Macaca mulatta: one gene and its partners. The protein of the gene in region 4 interacts with the protein of the main gene of each other region in a pairwise test. Links are inferred from orthologs where the notes say so. Each region holds a gene or a part of one and is shown on either strand. Other genes may lie near its edges.

The links.
Region 1: the proteins of REL (region 4) and CEP19 interact in binary tests that used the Homo sapiens proteins (3 or more experiments, as listed by UniProt). The two-hybrid records come from large-scale screens. The link is inferred for Macaca mulatta from reciprocal best matches to the Homo sapiens genes REL and CEP19.
Region 2: the proteins of REL (region 4) and EFHC1 interact in binary tests that used the Homo sapiens proteins (3 or more experiments, as listed by UniProt). The two-hybrid records come from large-scale screens. The link is inferred for Macaca mulatta from reciprocal best matches to the Homo sapiens genes REL and EFHC1.
Region 3: the proteins of REL (region 4) and ASAP3 interact in binary tests that used the Homo sapiens proteins (3 or more experiments, as listed by UniProt). The two-hybrid records come from large-scale screens. The link is inferred for Macaca mulatta from reciprocal best matches to the Homo sapiens genes REL and ASAP3.
Region 5: the proteins of REL (region 4) and PRKAB2 interact in binary tests that used the Homo sapiens proteins (3 or more experiments, as listed by UniProt). The link is inferred for Macaca mulatta from reciprocal best matches to the Homo sapiens genes REL and PRKAB2.
Region 6: the proteins of REL (region 4) and LENG1 interact in binary tests that used the Homo sapiens proteins (3 or more experiments, as listed by UniProt). The link is inferred for Macaca mulatta from reciprocal best matches to the Homo sapiens genes REL and LENG1.
Region 7: the proteins of REL (region 4) and EIF5A2 interact in binary tests that used the Homo sapiens proteins (3 or more experiments, as listed by UniProt). The two-hybrid records come from large-scale screens. The link is inferred for Macaca mulatta from reciprocal best matches to the Homo sapiens genes REL and EIF5A2.

The regions. Positions count from the first base shown.
Region 1 is NC_133407.1:2,250,604-2,254,819, forward strand, and holds the start of CEP19 (centrosomal protein of 19 kDa), read right to left. Parts: upstream 2,801-4,216; 5' UTR 2,759-2,800; exon of another isoform or gene 2,639-2,758; intron 2,521-2,638; exon of another isoform or gene 2,232-2,520; coding exon of another isoform or gene 2,207-2,231; intron 1-2,206. Other genes in the region: PIGX (GPI alpha-1,4-mannosyltransferase I, stabilizing subunit precursor), read left to right, coding at 2,801-2,912. UniProt on the Homo sapiens protein: Required for ciliation. Recruits the RABL2B GTPase to the ciliary base to initiate ciliation.
Region 2 is NC_133409.1:129,832,990-129,836,489, forward strand, and holds part of EFHC1 (EF-hand domain-containing protein 1), read right to left. Parts: intron 1,590-3,500; coding exon 1,449-1,589; intron 1-1,448. UniProt on the Homo sapiens protein: Microtubule inner protein (MIP) part of the dynein-decorated doublet microtubules (DMTs) in cilia axoneme, which is required for motile cilia beating.
Region 3 is NC_133406.1:217,566,509-217,570,008, reverse strand, and holds part of ASAP3 (arf-GAP with SH3 domain, ANK repeat and PH domain-containing protein 3), read right to left. Parts: intron 2,617-3,500; coding exon 2,568-2,616; intron 2,479-2,567; coding exon 2,288-2,478; intron 2,203-2,287; coding exon 2,069-2,202; intron 1,813-2,068; coding exon 1,718-1,812; intron 1,163-1,717; coding exon 985-1,162; intron 1-984. UniProt on the Homo sapiens protein: Promotes cell proliferation.
Region 4 is NC_133418.1:63,901,032-63,905,280, forward strand, and holds the start of REL (proto-oncogene c-Rel), read right to left. Parts: upstream 2,801-4,249; 5' UTR 2,493-2,800; coding exon 2,483-2,492; intron 2,333-2,482; exon of another isoform or gene 1-2,332. UniProt on the Homo sapiens protein: Proto-oncogene that may play a role in differentiation and lymphopoiesis.
Region 5 is NC_133406.1:118,946,444-118,950,599, forward strand, and holds the start of PRKAB2 (5'-AMP-activated protein kinase subunit beta-2), read left to right. Parts: upstream 1-1,356; 5' UTR 1,357-1,492; intron 1,493-2,660; exon of another isoform or gene 2,661-2,706; intron 2,707-2,966; 5' UTR 2,967-2,989; coding exon 2,990-3,145; intron 3,146-4,156. UniProt on the Homo sapiens protein: Non-catalytic subunit of AMP-activated protein kinase (AMPK), an energy sensor protein kinase that plays a key role in regulating cellular energy metabolism.
Region 6 is NC_133424.1:66,391,288-66,395,558, forward strand, and holds the start of LENG1 (leukocyte receptor cluster member 1), read right to left. Parts: upstream 2,801-4,271; 5' UTR 2,778-2,800; coding exon 2,646-2,777; intron 1,532-2,645; coding exon 1,352-1,531; intron 92-1,351; coding exon 1-91. Other genes in the region: voltage-gated chloride channel TMC4, read right to left, coding at 3,386-3,454, 3,547-3,625, 3,931-4,086, 4,183-4,271.
Region 7 is NC_133407.1:82,589,699-82,593,646, reverse strand, and holds the start of EIF5A2 (eukaryotic translation initiation factor 5A-2), read left to right. Parts: upstream 1-1,148; 5' UTR 1,149-1,230; intron 1,231-1,913; 5' UTR 1,914-1,948; coding exon 1,949-2,113; intron 2,114-2,657; coding exon 2,658-2,762; intron 2,763-3,948. UniProt on the Homo sapiens protein: Translation factor that promotes translation elongation and termination, particularly upon ribosome stalling at specific amino acid sequence contexts.

The DNA of each region.
Region 1 (4,216 bases), on a different chromosome or scaffold from region 4:
CTTGGGGGCAAAGGAGAGGGGAAACATATAGAAAATAATCACCCTTAATTGTGTCCAGTCTTTTTTCTAGGCATATAGTTTAAGTATGTTTCACACATGGTCGTACAAGCTATTTCCTGAAGTTCAAATTTAACAACATATGTTATTATTTTGTCATTAAATGTTTTACTACAATGTAACATTTTATACGACTGCTAAGTATTGTATTTTATGGATGTACTAAAATCATATTATTCACACTTATTGTTGGACATGAGAATTTTTACTCTTAGAAAATTAATCACGTATAAGCCCAGGCACAGTGGCTCACCCCAGTCAGCACTTTGGGAGGCTGAGGTGGGCAGATCACTTGAGGTCAGGAGTTCAAGACCAGCCTGGCCAACATGGTGAAACCACGTCCCTACTAAACATCCAAAAATTAGCTGGGCATAGTGGCAGGTGCCTGTAATCCCAGCTACTTGAGAGGCCGAGGCAGGAGACTCACTTGAACCTGGGAGGTGGAGGTCACAGTGAGCCGAGACGGTACCACTGCATTCCAGCCTGCGTGACAGAGCAAGATTCCATCTCAAAAAGATGGAGGCAGGCATGGTGGCTCAGGCCTGTAATCCCAACACTTTGGGAGGCCAAGGAGGGAAGATCCCTTGAGGCCAGGAGTTTGAGACCAGCCTGGGCAACACAGTGAGACCATGACCATGTCTCTACAAAAAATTTAAAAATTGGCCAGGCATGGCAGCATGCACCTGTAGTCCCAGATACTCCAAAGGCCAAGGTGGGAGAATCGCTTGAACCCAGGAGTTTGAGGCTGCAGTGAGTTGAGATGGTGCCACTGCACAACAGCCTCTCCAAAGCGTGATAAGCCTATTCTTTAAAAAAAAAAAAACTTAAAAAAATTACTGTGCTCTACCTCTAATCTGATGCAATGATCCCACACCATTTTCTCCTTCTTTTCCTTCTCTTTTCCTTTTTTTTTTTTTGAGACGGAGTCTGGCTCTGTCGCCCAGGCTGGAGTGCAGTGGCGCGATCTCGGCTCACTGCAAGCTCCGCCTCCCGGGTTCACGCCATTCTCCTGCCTCAGCCTCCCGAGTAGCTGGGACTACAGGCGCCCACAACCGCGCCCGGCTAATTTTTTGTATTTTTAGTAGAGACGGGGTTTCACCGTGTTCTCGATCTCCTGACCTTGTGATCCGCCCGCCTCGGCCTCCCAAAGTGCTGGGATTACAGGCGTGAGCCACCGCGCCCGGCTTTTTTTTTGTTTTTCAACGAATACTACTCCCAATTCACCTAACTAAAATTTGATGTTAGTAAACTAGAACCTACTGGGCACAATATAAACTACACACACTGACGCAATGGCTGTACTCCTCAAAGATGTATGCAGTTGGTGCTCAAATAATGTAGTTTTTTTTACTAGACTCTTTTTAAAATTTAACTTTAATTTTTGTTGAAGTAATGTTTGTATTTGGAATATAAAATAATTCTATAAGGCTTATAACAACAAACTATAGCCCTTGGCCCTACTCCTCTTCATACGGAGCCGGATTGAATTTTAAAAAGCATGCCTTCCAAAATTTCTCTCTCCATTTCTTAAGAAACATGCTTATACTACCATTTTCAGTTTTTATTTTTTTGAAACAAGTCTCGCTCTGTCGCCCAGGCTGCAGTGCAGTGGTGTGATCTCGGCTCACTGCAACCTCCACCTCCCGGGTTCAAGCGATTCTCGTGCCTCAGCCTCCCAAGTAGCTGGAATTACAGGTGCCTACCACCACACCCAGCTAATTGTATTTTCAGTAGCGAGGGGGTTTCGCCATGTTGGCCAGGCTAGTCTCGAACTCCTGACCTCAGGTGATTCGCCCAAAGTGCTGGGACTATAGGCGTGAGCCACCTTGCCCGGCTATTTTCAGTTTTGGATAGTATCTTTTGACATACATTGTTTCCCCTTTGAGACACCAGCTCTAGAGCCCTCTATTCCACTCCAAGCCGCCTGTGCTCTCTTGGCCTGCTTACAGATTCCACTCTGTTCAGGAAGAAGGAGGCCACGTTTATACAATTATTCTTCCTGGACACGAATACTCCTCTCTCCAGAGATCAGGAACTGCCTACAATCTTGTTAGGAAGCCCCACAGCACCTAAGGGTACGGATGTCGCCAAACGGTAGACGATTCTCTCCCTACTCACGTCTCCACTAGTGCAAGGCTGGCTTTCTTACCCTTAGAGAAATACAGAAATGACATCTTCTGCAGGCCAACGTCTAAACACCCAGGAGTGGGTTTTTCCACCCAACCGCAGCGCACGGAAAGCACCTAAGCCGACTTTGAGGCCGGGCGGAGCCTGGCGCTGCAGGAAGAGGCCACAGCCACAGCCCTACTGACGAGCCCGAGGGGTGAACTCCCCGGCCGGAGGCCCGAACCCTCAAACACCGGGAAGCGGAGGTGGGGCCGGCCGGGGGCACGGTCCACCGGTTCCCACCCCGGCGTGCAGGGATTCCGGGGGGCGCTGGCCGAGCCGTTTCCACAGCAACAGGCCGGGCGCGCGTCCCCGCGCGTGCGCAGCTCCTCGCCCGCCCCCGGGTGGGCGGAGAGGGGAAAGGCGGGGCCGGGACGGCCGCCTCACGCCGCGCGGGAACCTGTGGGGGCCGGGGCTACAGGCCGCGGGGAACCGCGGGCGCCAGGGGCGCACCCAGCCCTCTGTCCCGGCCGGTAAATCTGGGGCAGCGCGCCGTAGGAGCTGCGGGCAGCCAGGCCCCTTCCTGCGTCCGCACCTGGCCCCGCGCGCCCCTCTCGGGCGTCCGGCCTCCGGCGTCCTGGCGGTTCGGGTGGCGGCGGTTCGGGCGGTCGCCTGGCTGCTCCTCGGGGCGGCGACCGGGCTCACGCGCGGGTCCCCCGCGGTCCTCGGCGCCGCGCGCTCTGACGCGGGTAAGGGGCGGGGCTGCGGAATGCGGGCGGGGCTTGGGGGCCGGAGCGTGGGGAGCGGTCGCGGCTCCCCGGCCTCTCCGCGGGTTGCGGGGATGTGGGGACCCGGCGCGGGACTTAGATCAGCAGGGCCAGCCGGAGGAGGTCAAACGCTAGAGCCGCGTGCCCTCCTCCCGCCCCCGGCGCTCCCGTGCGCTTTGCTCTGCGGCGGATCCCGGGTCTCCGGAGAGTGGGGCTCGGGCCCTGCGGTTCCCAGGCTGGACTGGCCGCCCTGTCACTAAGGTCCTGAGAAGGAAAGTCAGCCGTCAGGCGTCTTGGGACGCTCTTGGGTTGCACGAAGCTTCTGATCACCAAGGGGCCAGCAAGGCCTTAGCGCCCTGTGAGGCCTGAGAATGCCTAAACCGAATATAGGACTGCGTGCAAACTGCTAGTTGTTCGTGCAAGTAGTAGTTGGCAAACTGCTTGTACTACTGAGGCAGGCAAGTGCGAGAATAATTACAATAAAGTGGTAAGGTTTGACGGGAGGAAAGCACAAACCCGGCAAGTTTCTGCATCTGTAAAATGAGGATGTTTCTGTCATCCTTGGTACCATTTAGATCCATTGAGTATGTGTCAATCAGTGCATTTCTGCTTGTGTGTTTACATACTGGGTTTTCAAGTTTATCTAAACAAAGGATTATGAGGCCAAGAATTTCTTTTTTTTTTTTTTTTGAGATGGAGTCTCACTTGCCCAGGCTGGAGTGCAATGGCGCGATCTCGGCTCACTGCAACCTCCGCCTCCCAAGTTCAAGCAATTCTTCTGCCTCAACCTCGCAAGTAGCTGGGATTATTACAGGCGCCCGCCACCATGCCCAGCTAATTTTTTGTATTTTTAGTAGAGACGGGGTTTTGCCATATTGGTCAGGCTGGTCTTGAACTCCTGACCTCAGGTGGTCCACCCTCCTCAGCCTCCCAAAGTGCCGGGATTACAGGCGTGAACCACCATGCCCGGCCAGAAGAATTTTTAAACAGTTGGATTTGGTCATCTCTAGAGGCTTCCAGCATTGGCATTTTATAATTAAAAAGGGGTCAAAATTAGCCGGGCCTGATGGCGTGGGCCTGTAATCCCAGCTACTCGGGAGGCTAAGGCAGGAGAATCGCTTGAACTAGGGAGGTCAAGGTTGCAGTGAGCTGAGATCGCGCCGTTGCACTCCAGTCTGGGTGACAGAAGGAGGCTCTGTCTCAAAAAGAAAAAAAGTAAAAAGGAGTCAATTGGCCGGGTGCGGTGGCTCAAGCCTGTAATCCCAGCACTTTGGGAGGCCGAGACG
Region 2 (3,500 bases), on a different chromosome or scaffold from region 4:
ACTTTAACTTTTTGTGATATATCATGTTTGACCAGGTTGTTTGTGAGTACAGAAGGCTGCAATCAAAAGAAATTTATCCTTTCTCCTTAGTTAGCAATATCTAACACTATTCAGAGCCATTTTTGTAATCAACTTTGTATTAATTTTTCCAGGTTTTTCATGTATCAAAGGTAAGCTTACAATTTTGCAGTTTACAAACCCATATGAGTTCCTTTCCCTTTTCTAATCCTAAGTATTAAACTAGTTCTTCATCAAAAGAATACTGGGTTGAAAGCCAGAAGGCTGAGTTCTAGTCCTACCCCCGTCTAAGCAGCACCGGATCTGGGACAAGATAACTAGCCTTTCTGTTTCTTAAGTTTTGAAACATAAAATGGGTAAAATATTGTATTGCCTTACTCATGGATAATGTGTGCAGAAATAAATTGTTTTGCCTACTGAACGGGCAGTTAATGAGTACCTACAAAGTCTAGAAAGACATGATTCCTGCCCTTAAGGAGTTACAGTTACCATATCATAATTCGACAAGGCGCTTGAATTTTAACAGTAACTGAAAGAATCTAGTACTACAAAACCTTTGTTGGTCAGAATTCTTATGGAGAGTGCTCTAGTTGGCCTACATTTTGCTGTTTTGTTGTTTTCTTAAAAATTTTTGTTTTTAGCCAGGACTCCCTTTTTATTTAAAGCTTTGTACAATCATTTTCTAAAATCTATTATTCAGTTGTCTTTACCTTAGTTTGTATCTTTTCAAATACATGTATGTAGTTTGAAAAGTCACCTGACACCTCCTACCCCCAGCTCCTAATTCCTATTCCCAGATATAACTTATTTCAACTTCTGCTATTTATGTCCATATTTCTAATAAAATGGTTAGGTTCCTAGTCTACATTTTTTTTCCATTTTAAAGACTTTATACTTTGAATTTCTATCAATAATTTATCTCATACAATTCAGCTAATTAATGAGATATGCAGAACTTGAGTGTATGTCTATTTCCAACTGCATGCTCTTAACTATTAGTCACATAACCTCTCAAGATATCAGGCAAGATATCACAGGTAAATGCAGAACTTACTAAGACATGGTCCCTAACCTCAAGGAAATCACAGTATACTAAAAAGCCACATAGATACACACATGGTTTGAATATTAAGCAATTTCATAGTTACTTAATAAAAGAGGCAAAAGGTCTGTTAACATTTGAGGTGTTAAGAGTGAGAGATTAATGATCTAAGAAAGATTATTGGGAGAGATAGGACTTGATCTAGGTCTTAGCTCAGGGGCACCATACTTAATACTATCCAACCTCCCTGAAGGCTGGGTACTAGATACAATGGTTGGTTGAGTCAACACATAACTCTGACAGCTGTTAACCTATAGCTTACAGACAAAATAATCATACACAGTACTGAGATAGAAGAGAATCTTTAGTATATAAAAATTAGCCTCACCAGTGCAGCCAAATAACGAAGCACCTTGTTATCATTCACCAGCATTTTAATAACATCTTTTTTTGGAGCTTTTGGAATGAGAGCAAAGCAATTCTGAGCAGAATCTTCCACTAGCCCAAAACCATTATAAGGAGGCAACTCCTGGAGATATATAGGAAGCAAGACGTAAGGCAAATGCTACTTGTGTTAAAATTACATTAAAGGTAACTATAAGTTTAATGAAAAAAACTCTAGAAAATACTTATTCAAATATATTTTCTATATAAACAAATACAGTCAGAAAAAACAACTTATCCCCTTCCTCTTTGTGGATTTTGCATCATGTTCAGTGATCACAGAAGTAAGTGATGAGGCTCTAAAGTAACTCTCAGGGCTAGAGAGAAACTATTGCTGATGTAAACTGACCCCTTACTACAAAAGCAGGACCTAGTCCCACCCCAGTCCCAATGCAAATGACCCTGTAGTCATCCTAGCATGGTTCTGTCTATGACTTCTTTGCTCTAGGATGTGGACCTCACCCTAGCAGACCTGGAAACTGTTTCCTCAGTTCACCCAAAGTAAGAGAGAGAGAGAGGGATGGGGGGAAGGGAGGAAGTAAGGGAGGGAGGGAGGGGGAGAGGGTGAGAGAGAGAGAGAGTGAGTGAGTGTATGTGTGATAGGGGAACGGTGGTAAGAACTTGATTCAAGCTACTTTTTCTCCTACTTACATCCATATTTCTAATCTTTTTATTTCTTAATTTCTGCCTCACAGAACAGGATGACAGCTATAGTTTTCTGAGAACTCAGATCCCTTTTCCACACAGGACCCCCTTTCTTCATGAAAAAGTTCAATTTAGGAAATTATTTTTCAGATACAAAGGTTATTTAATGAGTTTGCGTGAAGATATAGGTTGAGCTTGTATGTTTCATTTAGGCTCCATGAAGAGCCTGAAGCATCACTGTAGGATGCTAAGATTTATTTCCCTAAGAACTTTAGGTCAAAGACTAAGTCTTCCTCCTCCTCATCTAATGATAGGCAAACATCAGCAGGGTTATTTATTCCTGACTCCTCTTTGCTATTCTTTCTCAGGAAATTCAGCTTGTAGCACACATTTTCTCTTGTATATACCTCCACAAAATCTTTTTATATATTATTTTCAGGCACTTTAATAAGTAAGTCCATATAGTCCCTAGTACCATCCATAACAGAGTATTTCTTCAACCACAAAGGACTATTAAATTTGTCCACGGCGTACTACTTGGAACACTGACCCCAAAATCACTTGTTGGGACTGTAGTTAATGTGGTAGTCATGGCTAGAATATGACTAGTAGATTTAGCAGATGGAAAATGACCTAATTTGCTTCAATTGCAAAACCACTACTCAGTGAATTTACAGGTTACTATGGGCAGAGGAACCCTGAGCTGATGGCCTACGTGCTAAGCAGTTGAGTTTTCTCTGGAGGCTAGGCACAAACTGCAAAGTGGTGGTATCTGAACTTGCTTTGCACTTATACCAACAACACACAATGAGAGCATCCGGGCTGCGGGTGCCAGTAGGGAGGTCACTGAGGGTTGAGGATTTTGCAATAAGAAGGTAGCTATAAAGCCTCTGGGCCTTCTTCTCAAATTCCTATTGTATTTTAACAGACTACCTGTTTTTCCTGAATATACCTCACTTTCCCTGCCTGGAATAAAGACCTTCCCTAAATATCAGTCCGTATGCATGGTATCCTGGCATCTTGCTTCTCATACTTCAAGCTACTGCTTGGGTGGGTCCTGTTGTAAACTAGATGAACACTCATCTGACTATGGATATCATCACTCCTAGATACTCCCGCTCATACGATCCACTTACCACAGTTTCTGTCTGGACATCTTCAACTGAGCTAGTAGTATACATAGAACCCAAGAGTACCACAACCTTCAGATACTGCTTTCAGGGGCCGTCTCCACAGCAGATTAGCTTTCCTAATTCTGATTTCTTTCTTTTCCCTACCAGTATGCCTCCAGATGGAGCCAGCCTGAGAGAAAACACATCTGGCTATTGCATTTATGTTTACTAATTCCTGA
Region 3 (3,500 bases), on a different chromosome or scaffold from region 4:
CCTCTGCCCCCAACAGGTGTTACCCAAACTTCTTTCTCGACTCTGGGCTCCTCTCCCTGATTGTACTTCCCCACCAAGACCTCAGCAACCTCACGTTTTCAATTATCACACACGTATAGGCTGTTCCAAATTCTTACCTCACCTAAATGCTGCACTGCTCATTGGATAGCCCACCAAGATATCAGACAGACAGTTCAAAGATACCCGTTTTTAGTTTTTCTGAGATAGGGTCTCGCTTTGTCACCCAAGCTGGAGGGCAGTGGCGCAGTCACAGCTCTCTGTAGCCTCAACCTCCTGGGCTCAAGTCACCCTCCCACCTCAGCCTTCTGAGTAGCTGGGACCACAGATGTGTGCCACCATACCCAGCTAATGTTAGTTGTTGTTGTTGTAGAGATGGGGGTTTCCTTATTTTGCCCAAGCTGATTCTGAACTCCTGGGCTCAAGTGATCCTTTCACTTCGGCTTCCCAAAGTGTTGGGATTACAGTGCGTGAGCCATTGCACCCAGCCAACATCCAATTTTTGATGTCCAATCAGTCAGCAACTCCTGTTGATTTACTTTTTCAAATGTCTCTGATATCCTTTCCCCATGCTCATGTGTTTGTTCTTGGAATAGCCAAAGCAATGTGGTCTTCCTGGCTCTAAACTGACCTGCCCTTACATTTCAGGGCTACTTAGGTGAAAGAAAAAGATATGAACATTTATTGCATACCCATTGTACACTAAGCCCTTTATATACATGACTTAATTCTCACTTCATCACCATGGGTGCTATTATTAACCCCTTTTATAGATGAGGAAATGAGACTCAGAGAAGTAACCTGCACTAGATCACACAGCTGGGAAAAAACAGCAAGGATTCCCACCCAGGTCTGCTTAACTGAAGCTGTGCTCCTTCCCACTTACCACTCTGATGGGTGAGATTTGAGCAGATGTCAGAGTGTGAGGCAGGTGGGTTATAAGTGGCCCTTGGAGGGGGTTCTCACCTGTGCATCAGGCCCTGGCAGCGGCTGTCCAAAGTCTTGCCCATTGGCAAAGGCCTCCAGTACCGACAGGAGGTCCCTGTTGCAAATGGCTGTCCAGAGTCTCCGAGGCTCAGGTGTGCACCGGCGTGCAAACCTGTGCTCCACATACTTGGCCACGATGTAGTCCCTGCGGGTGCCCCTACCAAAGACAACCACAGGATCTCAGAGCACGGACCGTGTCTGTCCAGCTGATCCCTGGGGCCCTCCCACAGGAGATACAGCTCTCCTTTTTTCCAGAACCATGTCCTGAAGATGTCCAGATCTGAGGCTCCCCTTCCCCAGCTCCTCAGGCTTTTTTTTTTTTTTTTTTTTTTTGAGACAGAGTCTCACTCTATCACCCAGGCTGGAGTGCAGTGGCGCAATCTCAGCTCACTGCAACCTCTGCCTCCAGGGTTCAAGCAATTCTCGTGCCTCAGCCTCCTGACTAGGTGGAACTACAGGCATGTGCCACCACGCCCAGCTAATTTTTGTATTTTGAGTACTGGCGGGGTTTTGCCATGTTAGCCGGGCTGGTCTTGAACGCCTGACCTCAAGTGATCCGCCCGCCTTGGCCTCCCAAAGTGTTAGGATTACAGGCGTGAGTCACTGCGCCCAGCCTCCCCAGACTTCTGATCTAAGACCTTTCTGCGACCCTGGGAGCTGCGGAGGCAGAATCCCGTAGGCAGGACGCCCCTCTCTCTGAGAATCCCCTTACATGTCACTTTCAGGTGAGGGTTTAGGGCCGCCATGTGAGGGTAGCTGGGCCTCCATGACCTCATTGAAGCTCATGTTTCCCATGTTCAAGGCCAGCTGGAGTCGTGGGAAAATAGGGGTGGGGCAGAGTAAGACCGGGTGGTTAGGCCTGCACGGGGTGGAGCTCCGAGTCCCCAGAGTCCCGCCCCTCGGGCGCCCTCCCGGTTCAGGCCCCGCCCCTGACCACCAGCTACCTGGCTTGTCCCCGCCCACCTTGGCCAGGTCCCACCCACAACCTGCAAGTCTCGCTGCCGGATGAAACTACACCCCTATCTCCGTGTCTGGCCCCTTCCGGGCCCCGCCCCGCCCTCACCAACAACTCCGAGGGGCCCAGCAGGTCCAAGGTGAGTGACTGCATGCGCGAGAAGCGCACGCCCAGTTCGCGGTGGACGCCCGAGCACTGGATGCAGGTGAGCACGCCCAGGTTGGTGCTGAGCCACGTGGGGTCTGCAGAGGAAAGCAGCTGGAGCCTGGAGGTGCAGCCCCTCCCCTCTACTTCCCCCTCCCTCCAGCCCAGGCCCCGAGGCTTGACCTGCAGCCCCGCAGTCGCAGCACTGGCTATTCCCAGGCCTGCTCTTCACCTCCGCGATGAGCAGCTTTGTGAGGTCATGGGGCTCCCCGTCATGCCCGGCGGCCCCCCAGGACCCCAGGCCACCGCTGGGCTCCCCAAGGAAGGCGCTGCTCAGGGCTTCGTCCTTGCTGTTCTGCAGCACTGACACCCACCTGCGGAGATTGAGCGGGGTGGGACGGGGATGTCAGGCGGGAAGAGATAGGGCTACCGCCCCAACCCACAAGGCTGGCCGGGCACTCACGCCTCACACTCGTGCTCGTCCTCTGCCTGGAAGTGGTACGTCCGGTTGTCTGTCGGGAGAGAAGGGGGCTTCTGGCCCACAGAAATGCTGCTGGCCTTCCCGAAGCCCAGGGAGCCCCCGCCAAAAGCCGCTGGGCCACATGGAGATGTGTCCCTGCCAAGTTGGACTCTCAAGCTAGGAGTGGGAAGGGAGCGGAATGACAGTGGCCGACAGCAGGGGCAGTTTCTCAGAAGTGGCCTCCGAAGTAGGATCCCAACAAAGCTCTCTCTGCATGAAGCCCTGGTTCCAGGCTCAGATGAGGTCTCCCAGGGCATAGAACCCCAGAGAACCCAGCTCAGAGGCAGGGCATCCTCTGAACCAACTGTCACCATCCCACTGGGCTCCTCCTGGTCTCCTCCAGGGCGACCAGGCTACCTGTCTGGTCTCCCTGCTTCCCATTTCCTCTTTTCTCCAGCCTGTACCAGCTCCCAACTGTTGTGCCCAAGGCTCTGCTCTAACTACACCACTGCCCTACTGCCCTGCTCCAAGATCTCCCATGGCTCCCTATTGCCAGGAAATAAGGTCCAAACTTTTAAGAGGGATTTCCAGGCCTCATCTCTCACTCTGCTACATGAACCCTCCACTCTGGCCAAACTGGGCGGCCCCACTCTCCTGCTTCCATGCCTTTCATCATGCTAATCCTGTCTCCTCAAAAGCCCCCACCCCACAAACTCTTCATTCTACATGTCCTTCAAGGCTAAATTCAAATACTCTCTCCTCCAAGAGCCTTTCCTGGTTCCCCACAGCAGTGCAGGCCTTCCTGCTCCCTAATCTCCTATGGGGCTATATCTGCACCCATCTTCTGGACAGCCCCCTCATCTTACAGTCCTGGGTACCCACCCCACACCCCTGCCAGAGAGCTTCCTGAGGACAAGATCTAGGTCTTTCTCAGCC
Region 4 (4,249 bases):
TTGCTTGTAAGATTATGATTTATGTTACTTTTACATCATGGCTATCACATAATCAACACTTATACCTATTTACATATGACATCTGGTGAGAAATGAAGAAATGCTCTTAAATGCTTTGTAATGAATAAAAGTACTTTTTGAGGTTTTAATACTACCTTACTACAAAGAGAATCTAAACTAGACAACGAAAAACTAAGCAATTTCTTTTTCTTTTTTTTTTGTGTGTGTCACTTTTCTGGTTAAATTGCTGTTTCAAAACAGAATAGGAATTTAGAATTTCATTACTGAATCTTTTTCTATCTCTAAGGTCTTTATAACAGATTAAGGAAAAGTACACAGATTCCTTTAAACATTTTCTTTTTTTTTTTTTTTTAATTCCAGGCTTGGCAGTTTTCTAACAACTGAATTACAATTTAAATAACTTGCTACATTTTAAATAGTGCCATTTTAATGCAACTCTTGAGAAAAGACCAAAAAAACAAAAAGTTAATCACCCTTCAACTTCTAAACCTTTAAAATTTTCTATTTCTTTAAACATTTCCTCCTTACTTTTAGGGAATCCTTCCTCCTCACAACAGCACAAAATACAGTGTCAATGAACAAATTTAAATTGTATTACATTTTAAAATCCTGTGGGTCTTAACAATACTCTATACAGAAATGGTTGTTTCCTCTCTCATTTGAAAAAATTGTAAGTATTACATTTATGCAATACATCAATAAAGTTTGATTAAATCGCCAAGAGGCTGAACTTAACTTACAATGCTAGGCATTCTTCATTACTTCCAAACAAAATCTTTCTGATAACCAATAAATTAACAAAACATTTGAAGTCATCTTAGCACTTCTAATCTACACATGCTTTGAATTCACAAATTTACAGGATTATCTGAAAGTCTGGTGTCACTTAAGTGGGAAAAGGGAAAGCTGAAATATTTTAAACTTCACTTAGTATTCTCACAACCACAGACAAACTGAAATCAAATGTCATGTGAAACACCCCAATTTCCTTTTCTGCCTACAGCAGTAGCTATGGCATTGTTCTGCTCAACCTTTTAGAAAGGTTCTTTAAACTTCCTACTTCCTCATCTCCACTAGACATCAACCAACTTCTGAGGGTCACTGGACCAGGCAGTTTTGGGATGCGAGTCAAGTTCATAAACGGTGCCCCGTCTTCACTCTCTTAGGTACAGCATTTAACATATGCATTTAGCCCTCCCTGCCTTTGCTCACGCTGCTTCCTCTGTCTGGAAAGCGCCCCCCACTCACCTTGGCAAAATCCTGGTAAAAGACCAACTCGAACCCAGGCTACTTAATTTCTCCCACCACCCCGGCTCTCCCGTCCCCCCAACCTTGAGCTCCAGGCACCCCGAAACCACGTCTGTGCATACAGGAGGCTCTTCCCTGCTCTGCAATGTTTCTTATAAATTTATTTCCCCCCAAAGGGAGAGATCGAGCATTTATTAAGGGAAAATATACAGTCAAATAAGTGATAAAGTTGTATTCACTACTACCCATTATTTTAAAGCACGGATATTCTAAAACTCCTCTTTCCCCTTATTTCCAGCGGGAAGGAAGGGGGATTCAACGTCTCTATTCGTCAGATTAGAAACTGTGTGCTTTATCTCACAGTAAAAATTACACACTCTATTTTTTTTTTTTTTAATAGAGACAGGGTCTCTGTCGCCCATGCTGGAGAGAAGGGGCGCGATCTTGGCTCACTGCAACCTCCACCTCGCCCAGGTTCGAGCGATTCTCCTGCCTCAGCCTTCCGAGTAGCTGGGATTACAGGCGTGCGCCACCACGCCAGACTAATTTTTGTATTTTCAGTAGAAACGGAGTTTCAAAATGTTCGCCAGGCTGGTCTCGAACTTCCGACCTCAGATGACCCGCCCGCCTCGGCCTCCCAAAGTGCTGGGATTACAGGCGTGAGCCACCGCGCCCGGCCTACACCTGGTCGATGCAACATTAACACTTAAAATACCACGGATTTTTAAATTCGTGTTAAAATACCACGAATGATTTTTAAAGCCGTGCAGCATTTTGTACAACTGTCAGTACAAGGGGGATCACCTCTTTGCATTTGACGAAATTAAAAAGGGGGAGAGAGCTTGCCCGAGGTTTGAAGGTTCCTCATTCTTGTTCTAAAACATAAAACCACCACTTCAATACATATCCATTTTTAACATGAGAACTCCTCGTCCTCCTTTAGTTCGCTTATGACTTCCCTAATCCTAAAATCAAGTCATTAGGAATTTATAAGTTTCCTGCTATGACAACAGGATCAAATTACAGACCGCGGCTTGGATTTTGCACGCAAGCCCTGAAACAGGTAACTTTTTTAAAAGCTGACAATTTTACCATATGAGATTTTAAAGACAGAACGCGCCCCAGCCAAAACTGAGCTCCCTAAACTCACAGCGGCAGGACCCCAAGAAAAGCTCCTTCCCCCCGGCCCAGGTCCCCGACCCGGAACACTCACCGGAGGCCATGGCTCCGTTCCCCGCACCTTCCCGCAGGCAGTTCCCGGCGTCCTGGCCAGAGGCGGCCGTGGTCAGTCAGTCAGTCAGTCAGGAGGCCGAGGGACCTCTGCCGGCGGGGCCCCCAGTCCCCCGACCACCCCAGGGTCCTCCTCCTTCTTCCCGCCCTCCGCTGGGTTTGCGGCTCACACCTTCCCACCCCCTGAATTCTTGCGCTCCGGGTCACCAGCGTCGCCCGTCCACCGTGCGGGAGCCAGGGGCAGGGGGCGCAGCAGGGCGAGAGCCGAGTGCCGGCCAGGCCGAGAGGCTGGCAGCCTGGCGGGAGGGGAATTTCCCGCGGCTGACGTAGGCCCGGCGCAGCCTTCAAGCCGGAGGCGTGGGGCGGGGCGTCCTAGCTGCCGTCGCGCGCGCGACCGCCCCCAGCGCCCCGCCCTGCCCGCCCCCGCTCACGCTCACCGTCCGCCCCGGCGCGTACGCCCCCGGCGCTGCTGCGGCGGCGGGCTTGGGAGGGGGTCGAGGGAGCGGGAGCTTGGGGTGGGCTTCGGGAGCACAGGGAACGGCGGCAGCCGGGAGGTCGCAGCGTGAGAAGGCCGCCGGCTCCCGCGAAATCCCCCTCCTCCAGGTTGTTCTTCCGAGTGTGGTTTAAAGTTCAGGAGCGGGCGGGGGGGTGCGGATGACGTAGAGAGGGCCGGCCGCCCGGGAGCTTTTAGGGGCGCGCCGGGCGGCCGAGCGGGGCCGACCCTCCAGGCCGGGGAGGGCGACGCCCGGGGTTTTCGAGAGGTGGTTCCCCCTCTTCCCGACTTCGCGCATGCAAATCTCCACCCCCGCGCCAGCGCGGAGGGGGAAGTGCGGCTGCGGCAGAGCCTGTCTTCTTCTATAATTCCTCTATTTGCATACGGGGACCCCCCCACCCGGCTGATTTTTTCCTCTTTCTATCTAAATTGCGAGGGTACTGTGAACTTTACGTCTTTTACCTACTGAAACCCGTTTAAACTCAAAAGGTCCGCACATCCAGGTCGTTGTCTCATTACGCAGTGCGCTGAAGTTTAGTGGACACTGTATCCTGAGATTTCACACAGATACCAAGAAAGGGGGAAATGGAGCAAACATTTAGTGCATTAAAGGACCTAGGATAACTTCGTTTCCTTCATTTGAATAGTACCTGCTATGCGTCAGATAATGTCTATACCTAATCTATGACGTATTTATTATTCCTAATTGTATAGATGAAGTATTCGGGGTTCAGAGAAGTTACTTCAATATACAGCACTTCCAAATGCTGGTAAGAAAAGGCACAGTTTAAAAAAGCCAGGGTTGTCTGACTCCAAAGCTCCATACCCTTGCCCCATCCCTTACTAGTTAAAATAAGTACGGAGAGGGAATGGGGAGTATCAGCCTGCCATACAAGTGCCCAAAACTGGGGGACCCAGGTGGGCAAATAATTAAAAATATCCCGCCAACTCCAAAGTATTCTTTCCACGAAATGCACAATGTACAACAAAAGAATGAAACAGTTTTATTATTGGATACGTACTAAAACATACCATGATGCACATCACAGGCAATCCGCTGAAGAGGGTGCAAAGACCAAAAAAAAAAGAAACCTAATCCTTTCATATGGTCAGGCACATACAATCCATTATATACCTGTTAATTGTCTTTATCCAAAGGAAAATAATGGAAAGTTGTATCTTGGAGCCAAGAGCCAAGGCTTAAACCCCCGTAGAGACAGAGACGTGGAGCACCATCCTTGTTCGCTTTCCAAGAGA
Region 5 (4,156 bases), on a different chromosome or scaffold from region 4:
CCTTTAGAAAGAAGAGCATTGGGGCCGGGCGCGGTGGCTCACGCCTGTAATCCCAGCACTTTGGGAGGCCGAGGCGGGCGGATCACAAGGTCAGGAGATCGAGACCACGGTGAAACCCCGTCTCTACTAAAAATACAAAAAATTAGCCGGGCGCGGTTGTGGGCGCCTGTAGTCCCAGCTACTCGGGAGGCTGAGGCAGGAGAATGGCGTGAACCCGGGAGGCGGAGCTTACAGTGAGCCGAGATCGCGCCACTGCACTCCAGCCTGGGCTGGGCGACAGAGGGAGACTCCGTCTCAAAAAAAAAAAAAAAAAAAGAAAGAAGAGCATTGGGGTGACAGCAATAAATCTAAAGGGAACAATTATACTGATACTGGTTAAGAAGATCTTGTATCTTTACCTACTTATTCCTGAATCTAAGAAAAAAAAAGGAATTTGGGACTAAGGAGAATTCATTCTTCCTACAGTGTCATATTACATTTGTTCTGTGTCTAAAACATGCAATATTCAAAATTGACTTTTATTATTAACTGTTGAGTAACTTACAAATGTTGTTAGAGCAGAGCAGGGCAGAACAGTGTCATGGATAATCTTCCAAAGGAGATAATACAAAAGTCATTTCCATTTAGCTGTGTAAAAACAGTTTATTTCTCTCCTTCAGTTTTCCATTGGCTAACATAGTTAGTTTGTTTCTGCTAAGCTGATTTCACTACTGCAAGGAAATACATACCAAGGACATATTATTTGGCATGGTGAAACCACCTTGGGGTCAGAAAACTGAATACTACACAAGTCAAGGTTTAATGTATCACACCTTGAAGGGCCTTGCTTCAGTGTCCTATGGTAAGGAATTGAGGGGTGGAGGGAGAAAGGTAGGGATAACCAAAAAGAATGTACTCAGACAGTAAAGATTTCAGAGGGGTGAGCAAGAAGTTGCAGTAAAATCGTACCTTTTTTTTTTCCTTCCTGTAAACTGTCTTCGGTTTATGAGCCAAAGAATGAGTTTATAAGGGGCAGAGCAAAGAATGGGGGAGTAGTGAATTTGTTGTACTTAAGTGGGCTGTCAACTTCATAATATAAAAATGAACTTTTCAACAAATAGAGCTGCTCACTCAGAAAGGGTGGCCTATGTAACTTGGGGTTCTCCATCATTGGCCGTGTTTAAGCCTAAGTGGCATATCTTGATAGAAATGGATTACAGTAAACAGTATTCCTGTATCCTTCATTCCGCAAATACAAAAGCCTGCTCTGTACAAGGTACATGCAGAATATGAAAAGGTATCAAATCTGGATCTGCTCTCTGCCAGCTGTCAAAGCATTGCTTCTCACACACGTTAATGTGATCTTGTTAAAATGCAGATTCTGAACCCTGGGGATGGGGCCTGATTCTACATTTCTAACAGGCTCCCAGGTGATGCCAACGCTGCTGGTCTGTGTAACACAGATAAACGTTTCTAGTAGAGAAGGCGACATGCAAATACTTCTAATACAAAGGTAAGTACCTTAGGGATTCCACTAATTTTCATAAAAAACCTGGATCCCTCCCAACCCTACGACTGTCTTTGCCTTTTTTATACCTTTAGGGTTCCTTCTGATGTTTTCGTTGTCGCCATCTTCCTTGAATTTTATTTCTTCTGAGGTTTCTCACTGCATATGCTGTTTCTTAGACTAGGAAAGCCTTTTCGTTATTCTCCTAAGACTAACATTTTACTAATTTGTCAAGGTCTAGCTCCTAAATACGCCATCTTGAATTTTCCCTGCGACCCCAGTCGGGCTGACAGCTCCTTCCTTGTCGCTCCCTATTGAGCAGGTTTTTCTTGTGGGGGGGGGGCGGGGAGGCGGAGGGACGGAGTGTCGCTCGGTCGCCAGGCTGGAGTGCAGTGGCGCGATCTCGGCTCACTGCAACCTCCACCTCCCGGGTTCAAGCTATTCTCCTGCCTCATCCTCCCCAGTAGCTGAGACTTCCGGCGCGCGCCACCACGCCCAGCTAATTTTTGTACTTTTAGTAGAGACCAGGTTTCAACTTGTTGGCCAGGATGGTCTTGATCTCCTGATCTCGTGATCCGCTCGCCTAGGCCTCCCAAAGTGCCGGGATTACAGGCGTGAGCCACCGCGCCCGGCCAGAACAGTTTTAACCTCCAGCAATGGCCATTGCTTCCTTCTGCCTGCAGTTGGAAGTCAGTTTCAGTTTTCTTATTCCCTGTAAGGAACCCCCCTCTCCCGTCGCCTAACACACAGATGCTGCCCAGAAAACGTGCTGGCGCACCTGAGGCGGGGTAGAAAGCCGCGTCGCTTCTCCCGGCACCGAGCGCCGGAGCCCAGGGAGGCGGCCTCCGAGTGTCCTGTGGGAACGTCCCTTCCGCCGGGTAGTCTCAGAGGCCCAGCGCTCCAATTATCCCGGGTGCAGTCTCCCCAGGCGGCACAAGCCCTGCCTGGCGCCCCCTCCTGGCGCTGGAGGCTGCGTGCGACTGCCCACCATCGAGGCGGCGGCGGCTAGAGAGGCCGGCGGGCCCGGGACGCCGAGGCTGCAGGCCGCAGGGAACGCGCACGGGGCCGACTCCGCGCCGCCGGCCTTGTAGCCATTTTAGGAGGAATCGCTGATCGCCAGCGAGGGGTGCGGCTTCAATTTCAATAACTTTATTGGTGGCCTGATCTGCAGAACAGTCATCACTTCAGTGGTCCCTGGAGGAGGGAGCGCATCGCCCGAGGTGACTGGCGTGGGGGCGCCCCTGGCAGTGAGCGCGGGGACGCGGGGGAGTCCCGATAGCGGGTTTCCTGACTAGGGGCAGCGAGGGCACCGGGGTATTTGCAGGCATTCCCGCAGGCCAGGAGGGAGAAGGCTCCGGGGCTTGGCCTCCCTGGGGCGGGGAAATCCCTTGCCCCGTCCCAAGGCGTATGGGCGGGGCCGGGGGGCGCCCCTGACGCGGCTACTGAGGTGTTCCCAGCCCGGTGTGGTTCTCCGCGGTAGGTGGTCCCCGACGAGCTGCAGCCATGGGAAACACCACCAGCGACCGGGTGTCCGGGGAGCGCCACGGTGCCAAGGCTGCACGCTCCGAGGGCGCAGGCGGTCATGCCCCGGGGAAGGAGCACAAGATCATGGTGGGCAGTACGGACGACCCCAGCGTGTTCAGCCTCCCCGACTCCAAGGTAAGCGTCCCACGCCCGCAGTTGGTGGCAGTACTGCAGCGGGTTGATTTCCGGGCTCCTCTTCCCTTTCTTGGTTCTTTTCTGCCGCGCCGAACCGGGCTATGGTTTTTTGAATTAAAAGGATTTTTCGGGGACAGAGGTGTTGGATGGTAATCCCTCTTGCAGTGCCGCCTCAAAATAGGATAAAGAGGCGGAGTTCTTGTTTTCCTGGTGTTCTGACTAATCTGTTGGCCACATTTTTAGGATGGGGACAATAGACATCCCCGATCCTTGGTTCTTCCTAACATGCACGAGTGGCTCTCCTCTATAGCGTTGCTGAATTTGTAGTTTGTTAGCCCTGGTGGACAACTTCAGAGGGTAGGTTGCACGAGTTGCTGACCATAGGTGGTAGTTTCTCACCTTTGCCCTGAGGTGGCTACATGAAATTCTTTTTCTGAAAATTTCTATGTATCAGTATCATTTTTGCCCTTCTAGCAGCTCTGCACTTGTGATCTTCTTCCCTTTTGGCACGGCTGTAAGCAGCAACTACTTGCTTATTGAATACTTTCCCCTAGTCTTGGGGATCAATTAAGGACATCATTTGGTTGACTGCTTAATTTTTGTCCCATACTTTATAGTTGTGGTGGCTGAGGCTGTGCCTCTTTCACGCCCCGCTGCTGCTCCGCAGGTGGAAGAGCCAATGATTCCACGACTTGTTTACTCTCCAGTAGTACTTCAAAATGTTGCGTGGCTAAAAAGCGACAATCCATAGCTGCCTTGAAGACCTTGCTCTCAATTCCAAGGACTTTCAGGAAGAGCCAACTTGTTTTTTCACTCTGTAAGAAAGGACAGATGGAGCTGATAGCAGCGATTACCATTCTAATGTTTCTAATCGCTTTTAGAGCTGTCAGCATGAAATACATGTAGTTTCTCCAGGTAGACTGACTGGATGAGATAGAAAAATGGAGGGCTTGAGGAGATTGGGGTGTGTTTGATGTTTCCTATCATTTCGTCACTTCCCAGGGAACTGGG
Region 6 (4,271 bases), on a different chromosome or scaffold from region 4:
GGGGTAGCTGGTACCAAGGGGGTTGAGTCTGTGCCTCCGCTGCACTCTGGCCCAGGTACGTCAGGATGCCCAGAGCTTTCTCTTGCCTCTCCTGAGGGGGCCAGGAAATACAAGAGATGGGATATAATCTTTCAAGGTGTCAGGTGTGTCTCCCTGACATAGGAATCTAAGCAAACAGGTACCTAAGGCTTGTCATGAACCAGTTGTACCAGGTGCTGGGGATGGAAGACACCAACAGAGGCCAAGTTCCCCGTGGGGGGACAGTGGCAGGTAACAGCAGGGGAAGGAGGGGACAAGTGGAGCCACTTGAGTGTTCAGAGGCAGGCATCTTTGCAGAGAGACTTGAAGAGAAGCCTGAAGGGATCAAGCAAAGCAGAGGAGCCATGGGTGGGGTCAGCAAGTCCAGAGACAGCAGGTGAGTGACAAGAGCTCATGTACCTGTTTTTTTTTGAGATGCAGTCTCGCTCTGTTGCCCAGGCTCGAGTGTAGTGGCACCATCTCGGCTCACTGCAACCTCTGCCTCCCAGGTTCAAGCAATCCTCCTGCCTCAGCCCCCCTAGTAGCTGGGATTACAGGCACGCACCACCATGCCCGGCTAATTTTTGTATTTTTAGTACAGACGGGGTTTTGCCATGTTTGGCCAGGCTGGTCTTGAACTCCTGACCTCAGGTGATCCATCCACCTTGGCCTCCCAATGTGCTGGGATTACAGGTGTGAGCCACCATGCACGACCAGACATACTTTTTACACTTGATCTTAGCCAAAAGGCAAGAGGCGAATGATTCGCCTTTTTTTTTTTTTCTCTTTTTTTTTTTGAGATGGGGTCTCGCTCTGTCACCTGGGCTGGAGTGCAGTGGCGCAATCTCAGCTCACTGCAACTTCCACCTCCCAGGTCAAGCGATTCTCCTGCTTCAGCCTCCAAGTAGCTGGATTACAGGCGTGCACCACCACACTTGGCTTATTTTTTTGTATTTTTAGAGATACCATGTTGACCAGGCTGGTCTTGAACTCCTGACCTCAGGTGATCCACCCGCCTCAGCCTCCCAAAGTGCTGGGATTACAGGCATGAGCCACAGCTGGCTGATTTACATTTTTAAAAGCCTATCAAGGTTTCAGACCCCTCCAGTTTTGAGAACTGAGCAGTTTGCCTAGCAGCTGGGGACCTCTAGCATCTACCTCCAAGCCCTGTGGGTGCCCAGATGGCAACACTTCTTAAGTGTCATGCTTTGGTATGGTTCTAAATTCTGTGTGTTCGTTCTCGTTTGACCTTGATCACAAGCAGTGGCTAAAGTGCCCTCTCCCCCCAACTCGATTCATGGCTCCTCTAATGAAGTGGGTGAGGCCAGCTTACTTTCTCCTGTCGCTTTTCTTCCTCGTACTCTTTATTGCCTCTGATCACTCCTTTCCCTTCCTCCAGCAGCTCCCGAAACAGGTCCACAGGGCCAGAACTTGGGGCTCCCGCCTCTGCTGCTTCAAGCTCAGGCAGTGAGTTCTGATGTCTGGCTTTCTTTCGTAGGAATTCTGTACGGGCCTGGGGAGAAAGTTATAGGCAGGGCATTCAGAACCTAGAGGTGATTCAAGAACTGTGAGTCTGGTGCCCACCACAGAAAATGGCAGTCCAGGGTGCTGGGGTTATAAGAAAGGGAGCACTAGACGCCTAAAAGAGGCACCTGTCCTAGCTGCGGGTGAGGGTAGGCAGATGAGGCAACGCCTGGGTTTTGTAAACTGCCTTTCAAATCGTAAACCACGGGTCATCAAGGATGGCTGGAAGGAGGTCCCTGGCCTAAACCAAAGGGGTTCCTAACCTCAAGTGAGACAATTAAAACAGCCATAAAGGTAGACCAAACTGCATTAGGCCAGACGATCTGAATTCTAGCCATGGCTCCAAGTCACTACCCCAAGTCGACTGCTGAAGCCCTGTCCCCCGCCTTCGGGACGCAGATTTCAAACAGCGCTCAGCAGCCTACTGAGATTCTAAAAACCCAGACTACCTCCCACCCACTGTGGAGGATCAGACTAGCTAAGGAACTGAAAGTTGGGTGTACACCAAACAGATTTAAGGAGCCATACAGAAAGCCCGTGTTTGTGTGTATGTGTCTAGGGGGCGGTGCAGGAAAGGGCTCGCCCGATGGCGTGGAGCCTGGCTGTCCCCCTCTCCTTAAATGTGCCTTCCCCTCACTGAAGCCATCTCACTCCGTGCAACGGAGATGACAGTGCCCCTCTAAGAACGAACAGTGCCTCCTGGGGATTCCGCAAGTCAGGCGCTCTGCATGTAGTTAGCATACAATAGGTGCTCAATAAATAAACTGCGCAGGCAAACTAAAACGTGATCCGAATTTCCTTGAACTGTCCAAGCGCTCATGTATTCATTAAATGTTTTTAAGCTGCTCTTTTGTGCTAGACACTGTTCCAGCCATGTGAAATACATCAGTGGGGGGAAACTAAGACGAAGGCGAGATCAAGGGAGGTTTCGTGGAAGTGGCCACAAGGTTTGCAGAGCAACGTCCTCGAAAACGGGATCGGCGCCTGGTCCCGAATTTCACACGGGGCACACTGAGCCTGCGCAACGCCTCCGCTTCCGGCCCCCAACCGCGGCGCGTGCGCGCTGGGCTCCGGCGGTCAGCCCGGCCGGCCTCCGAGCTTACCTCTTGCTGAGCCAGCAGCGCCCTCCGCTCACGCTCCTTCTCCTCCTCCCGGGCCTGGGCCTCGTCACGCCGCACGCGGGCGACATTGTCCTTATTCCGGACGTGCCAGCTCTTCTTGGGCAAGATATTCATGGCGTCGTAGCTGTCCAGGGACTGGCACGCCCGCCTCTTTGCACTTCCGATTGGCGAGAGGATGCCCCCCTTCCTCTTGTCCCTACTTCGACCGCAGATTGGTTCCGAATTAGTTGGTACGGCCCCCTGGCCTGTAACGACAGGTGATTGGCTGAGACGTCCTTTTCACAGCGAATGTTAGGCGTTCGGCTCGTGGTATCCCCTAGCAACCGCCTCTTATCACAGATCTGAACCAATCATAAGTTGGCCCGCCCCGATGCTACCACATGCGGCCGTCGATTGGTCGACATGACCGTCAAGTCTCCTTGCGGAAGTGCGCTCCGCACCGACAAACATGCCCATACATTTGATTGGCTCCTGCCCTGCGGTAGCCCTGCCCCCACCTTCAGGACGCAGATTTCAAAGCGCGCTCAGCAACCTCGGCTGTATTTATTGATACAAGAAAGATCACCCGAGAGTCAGGGACGTGGCGGCGAGGGGCCCTGGAAATCTCCAGATATCAAAGCTGGAAGGGCGTGGAGTCTTCTCCAGTTCTCCTAGTTTACAGATGTTGTGACCTAGGCTTACAATGGGCCTGGGGTCTGAAAGTGGGGCGTGAGCTGCGGGGGTCAAAGAGCCGGTTCGGTGGAGGTCAGCGCCACAGCGCGCCGTGCCAGGAAGACTTTATTCTGCGCCTCCTGCGGCAAAGAGAGGTGGAGGTGTGACAGCCCTCTTCCCCAGCCCCTCTCCGTGTTCCCCGGGGGCCCTCTCAGGGACCCGCCTGGCTCACCGTCTCCCTCTGACGTTTGAGCTCAGAGATGAGGCGTCCGTAGGAGTTAGCCCGAGCCACAGTGTACGCCATCAGGATGCTGGAGGAGACAGGAACGGAAGCCACTCCTGACACGCTCTTCGAAGTCAGGGATGTGGACCCCTAAGTCCCTCCTCGTCCAGGCTCAAGGAGTTCAGTCTCCCAGCACCTCCGCGTTCAGATCCAGGAGTCCTAAGTCCCGCCCACCTCCTCCTTCGGACCCAGCAGTCCAGGAGCCTAGGCCTCCTCCCTCAGACTCAGTACATTGCCTGCTCCCACCCCCAAGCCTTTCCTCTCTTGGACGCAGGTGGTGGCCCCCAGATCACACGCATTCAAACCCAGACCCAGAAGTCTGGTCCACCTCACCTGGAGATCAGCAGAAGGGGCGCAGCAAAAGCCTGGGTCCCCAGGAAGAAGAGGAAGTTCTGGGTGGTCTCAGGGAGGCTGGAAATAGACTCAGGGATCTGGGCCCAGATGGACGACTGCCCCCGGAATGGACCACACGGCTTAGAAGGCGGGATCCTGAAGTCAAGACAGGCTGGGTTCAAGTAGAGCCAGGAGTCTGAACACTGAATGGGGGGAGAGGGAGGGAGAGAGGCGGGAACCTCTCGCACTTACAGGAAGATGCTGTAAAGCAGGGGAACGCTGGAGATGGCCAGACCCAGGAGAAGAACCAAGGGGAAAAAGAAATTCGCCGTGGAGGCCCG
Region 7 (3,948 bases), on a different chromosome or scaffold from region 4:
TGCAAAAGTTAAATTGGACATGTTTGAAAGATATGTGAAAACTGTAGAGGCACATAGGAATGTGAGGTATGGGATTATTCATGAGACAGCAATAGGAAATCAAAGTACCACATAAATGCGGGTGTGGAACGGGAAATAATTTCCTAGGTCACCTCCCCAAGAGGATACTGTGGTGAGTTGTGAAATGAAACTGTGAAGGGGGAGTACATCTCTTTTAAGAACCTTTCTATTGCAGTCTACAAGCTCTAGATCAATTTTGAAGACCATCTAAGCGTTCTAATGTGGCACAGTTAAACCCCAAACTCTAAGGAATGCCAATGCCAGGAGGAAAGAAGGCATGAGGTGGCAGAACACCTCTCTGGACCCACAATGCCGTAGAAGTCAGACACCCTTCGCCTCCACAACTTCACAACAGCCTTTGCTGTGAGAAGTGGATTAATTCATTTCACTGCTGGCTTGTTAGCTGGCGGATGCTTCAGGAGTTCCTACCCGGGGGAGCAGCGCTGACTCTACAGGGGCACCCCGCGCCAGTCGCTGCCAAAATTCTCACCAAGGGGTGAATGGGGTCCTCAGGACCCGCGGTGCCGAGCTAGGTATTAAAATACCGCACCTGAGTTCTTCTTCAAGGACCAGGAGGCGGTTCGAACCCCAAGAAAGGCTGCAAGCTGAACCAGAAGCTCAAACCTAAAGTTCGCTTCACAGCCAGCCACACTGGCACTCGCTGAATCGGCGCGCCTCGCGAGTTCTGACAATTGTCATGTGATAACTGCCACGCACCTGATGGCAGAGGCCACTGGATGCCTTGCTTGGTTCCCATTAAAGTCGACTGCGACCCCAACGCAACAAACCTAAGAGTTGGAAGGCGCAAGTTCCTCCGCCAGCGAGCTCACCCTCGGCAATCAGACTGCTGAAAGTGCGCTCCACGCCGGAAGTGCACTAATCCGCAGCACGTGGGGTTGCCAGGGCGCTCTTCACGTGACTGGGCGGAGCCTCAGGAATCTGGTAGCCAATGGTAGCCCGAGAGGGCGGTGCCTGTGACGCTCCGGGGCCTATCCCGGAAATGGGGCTGAGGTGGGGGCGGGTAAGGGCGGGGAGGCTGGGGTGTGGAAAGTGTGGCGGCCCCGCCCCGTCTCTTGGAACTGCCGCGGCCGCCACCGCCGCCGCCGGCGCCGCAGCTGTAGGGGACCAGCGCGGGTACGCAGACGAAAGGCACTCTTTGCCAGCTGAAAGGTGAGGACCTGGGGAAAAGCTGGTGGGGATGGGGCCAGAGCGAGGCAGGGCCGGGGAAGGCGTCCAGAGCCAAGCGCTGACCGAGGGAAGGAAGGAGAATGGATGGGGGAACAGAGGCGAGCGCGGGACCGCCGGGGCTCAGGCCCTGGTGGGGCCGGGCCGAGCTGAGCCGAGGATGCCGGCAGAACAGGGGGCGCCTATGCGGCCGCGGCGGCGGCGTTGAAGGGTGGACGGGGGGGTGCGCGCCAGCTAGCAGAGGGCCGGGTGCCGCCGGCCAGGTTCTGTTACCCCGCATCCTTCGCGGGGACGTGCGGCCTGGGCTGGATACCCCGCAGCAGGGTTCGGGGCGGCGGCCGAGTGCTGGGCGGCGCGGGAAGGTCGCCGGCTTCTGCGGTGGGGCGATGGGGGCCGCAACCTGCTGTTTCCAGCGCGGAGGAGCGCCCAGGGCGGGTGTCCCCACCCTCAGCGAGCTCTTCTGCGACTTCTCATCCCACCTCCCCAAGCAATAGCTGGAAAAGTTTGTAGAGGCCAGAGTTAGAAAGTGTCCACTAGTCTAGGGTGGGTGTTCCTTACATGCAGAAATAACAGGCCCGTGATGCTTGGCACATAACTTGTCCGAAATGAGACGTTTCCGTGCCTACATACCCGTTGTTGAAAAGCAAACACAAACTTTTTGTGTGTAGTTCCCACGGAAAAACTACCATCTCCCCAGCCCACCATGGCGGACGAAATTGATTTCACTACTGGAGATGCCGGGGCTTCCAGCACTTACCCTATGCAGTGTTCGGCCTTGCGCAAAAACGGCTTCGTGGTGCTCAAAGGACGACCATGCAAAATAGTGGAAATGTCAACTTCCAAAACTGGAAAGCATGGGCATGCCAAGGTAAGTGCCCTTGCAGATCAGGCTTTGGCTTTGGCGTTGGAACTTTGATCATTTGTGTTCCGTTACAGATCATGAGATTTCTATACTTAAAATTTTGTAATAAGCACTGTTTTTTCCTTCCCACAATTACTGGGTGATCAGTTATTACGTTGAATACTGAAAGGTAGCAGTCCCTTCTTGGGCCCTTAACAATGTTCATTAACTGGGAACTGAAACTTTCCTGAATCCTAGTGACTTAGAAGATCTATTCAGTTTACAGATAAGAAAACCTGTTCCAGCAATTCTAAGAAACCTACACTTTATTTTTCTTGTGTAATCTCATAATTGAATCACTGGACTATATTGGGTCTTGACATGTGATACTGTTTAGTTGTTTACTGCCTCCTAATTGTAAGACCACTACTTTTTTTTAAGTAAAATCAGATGACCTTGGAAGGCGGAGAAAAGGAATCTGTCGTAATCAGCGTTGGTATTGTGCTCTTGTGTGTGTAATGAGTGATATACTTGGCAGAGATTAAACAGGTTTCCTGTTCTCCTCTGTTAGGTTCACCTTGTTGGAATTGATATTTTCACGGGCAAAAAATATGAAGATATTTGTCCTTCTACTCACAACATGGATGTTCCAAATATTAAGAGAAATGATTATCAAGTAAGCACTGATTTTCTTTAGAATGTTGCTTGTTACTTCAAGGTGCAAATACTTTGTACTATCAGTAATAATTTGACAAAACCCAAGAGTAGTTTTGTAGGTTTTTCTAACCAATTATTAGGCACCACCTATCTTAGAAACTGGAGAAATAGTGATGTTTAACACTTGTACCTTTTCTAGGATTATTGCTAGTTTGCTATTTTTTTTCACATTCTTGCATTTTTTAAAAAGTCAAATACTTATTAGTGCTCCTCAGGCCAAGTGACTGCATATTGCAATTAAGTCCAATGTTTAGTAAAAGTACTATTCTCTCTGTTATTATATATTTCTTATTCTAATTTAAAACATCCCTCCTGGATGTTTTGTTTCTTTTCACTGATCAGACCTAAGACATTCAAGAAACTACTGAAATTCATGTTCCTACCAAGTTTTTGTATTAATGAATGTTAGTCAGAACCTGACATTCTTAAGTAGGGAAATAAGTTGAAAGCCATAAATATAAAGTACATGGTCACTGAGTATGGTGAAGAAAACACGAAAACTATGTAATTGGTTAAATTACGTTCAGTGACCATGTTGTGACCTTTTGCTAAATTATATATGTAAATTTCAAGTTTTAGTTCCAGCTATACATTTGGGTAGGTCATATTTAATGATAGCATTTTGTTGTTTGGAGTACTGATGATAACCAAATAATTGACCTTATAGGATGTGGAAGCTCAGATTACTCATAACTAAAGCTTTTCTTGAAAGTCTTCAGTTTCTACATCAAGCATATCATATATCAAACTCATTTCTGCTCATTTTACGTAGTAAAAACTACATAGTTGACACTGGTATTTGTTTTATCCAACTTAAACTGATTTTTTTCTGTACCCTTTATTGTATAAATTTTTTTAATGTTGCTATCAACTGCACTTATGCAATGATTTCCTTTTGCTGTTTGTCCACATGCAAACATACTTTTTTGTAGTTTTAATCTAGTAAACACTTCTATGTTTTCATTTTCCGACTTGTCATAAATGTTTTCTAGGTTGCTTTGAAGTCTTTGTAGAAATTTGAATTGTCTTGCAAGTGGGTTTTTTTAACCAGGTAGATCTGAGTTTGGATCTAGTTCTGTCACTTTCTAGTTGGATGATTTTGGACAAGTAATACAACCTTTCTGAGCCTGTCTTCTCATCTACAA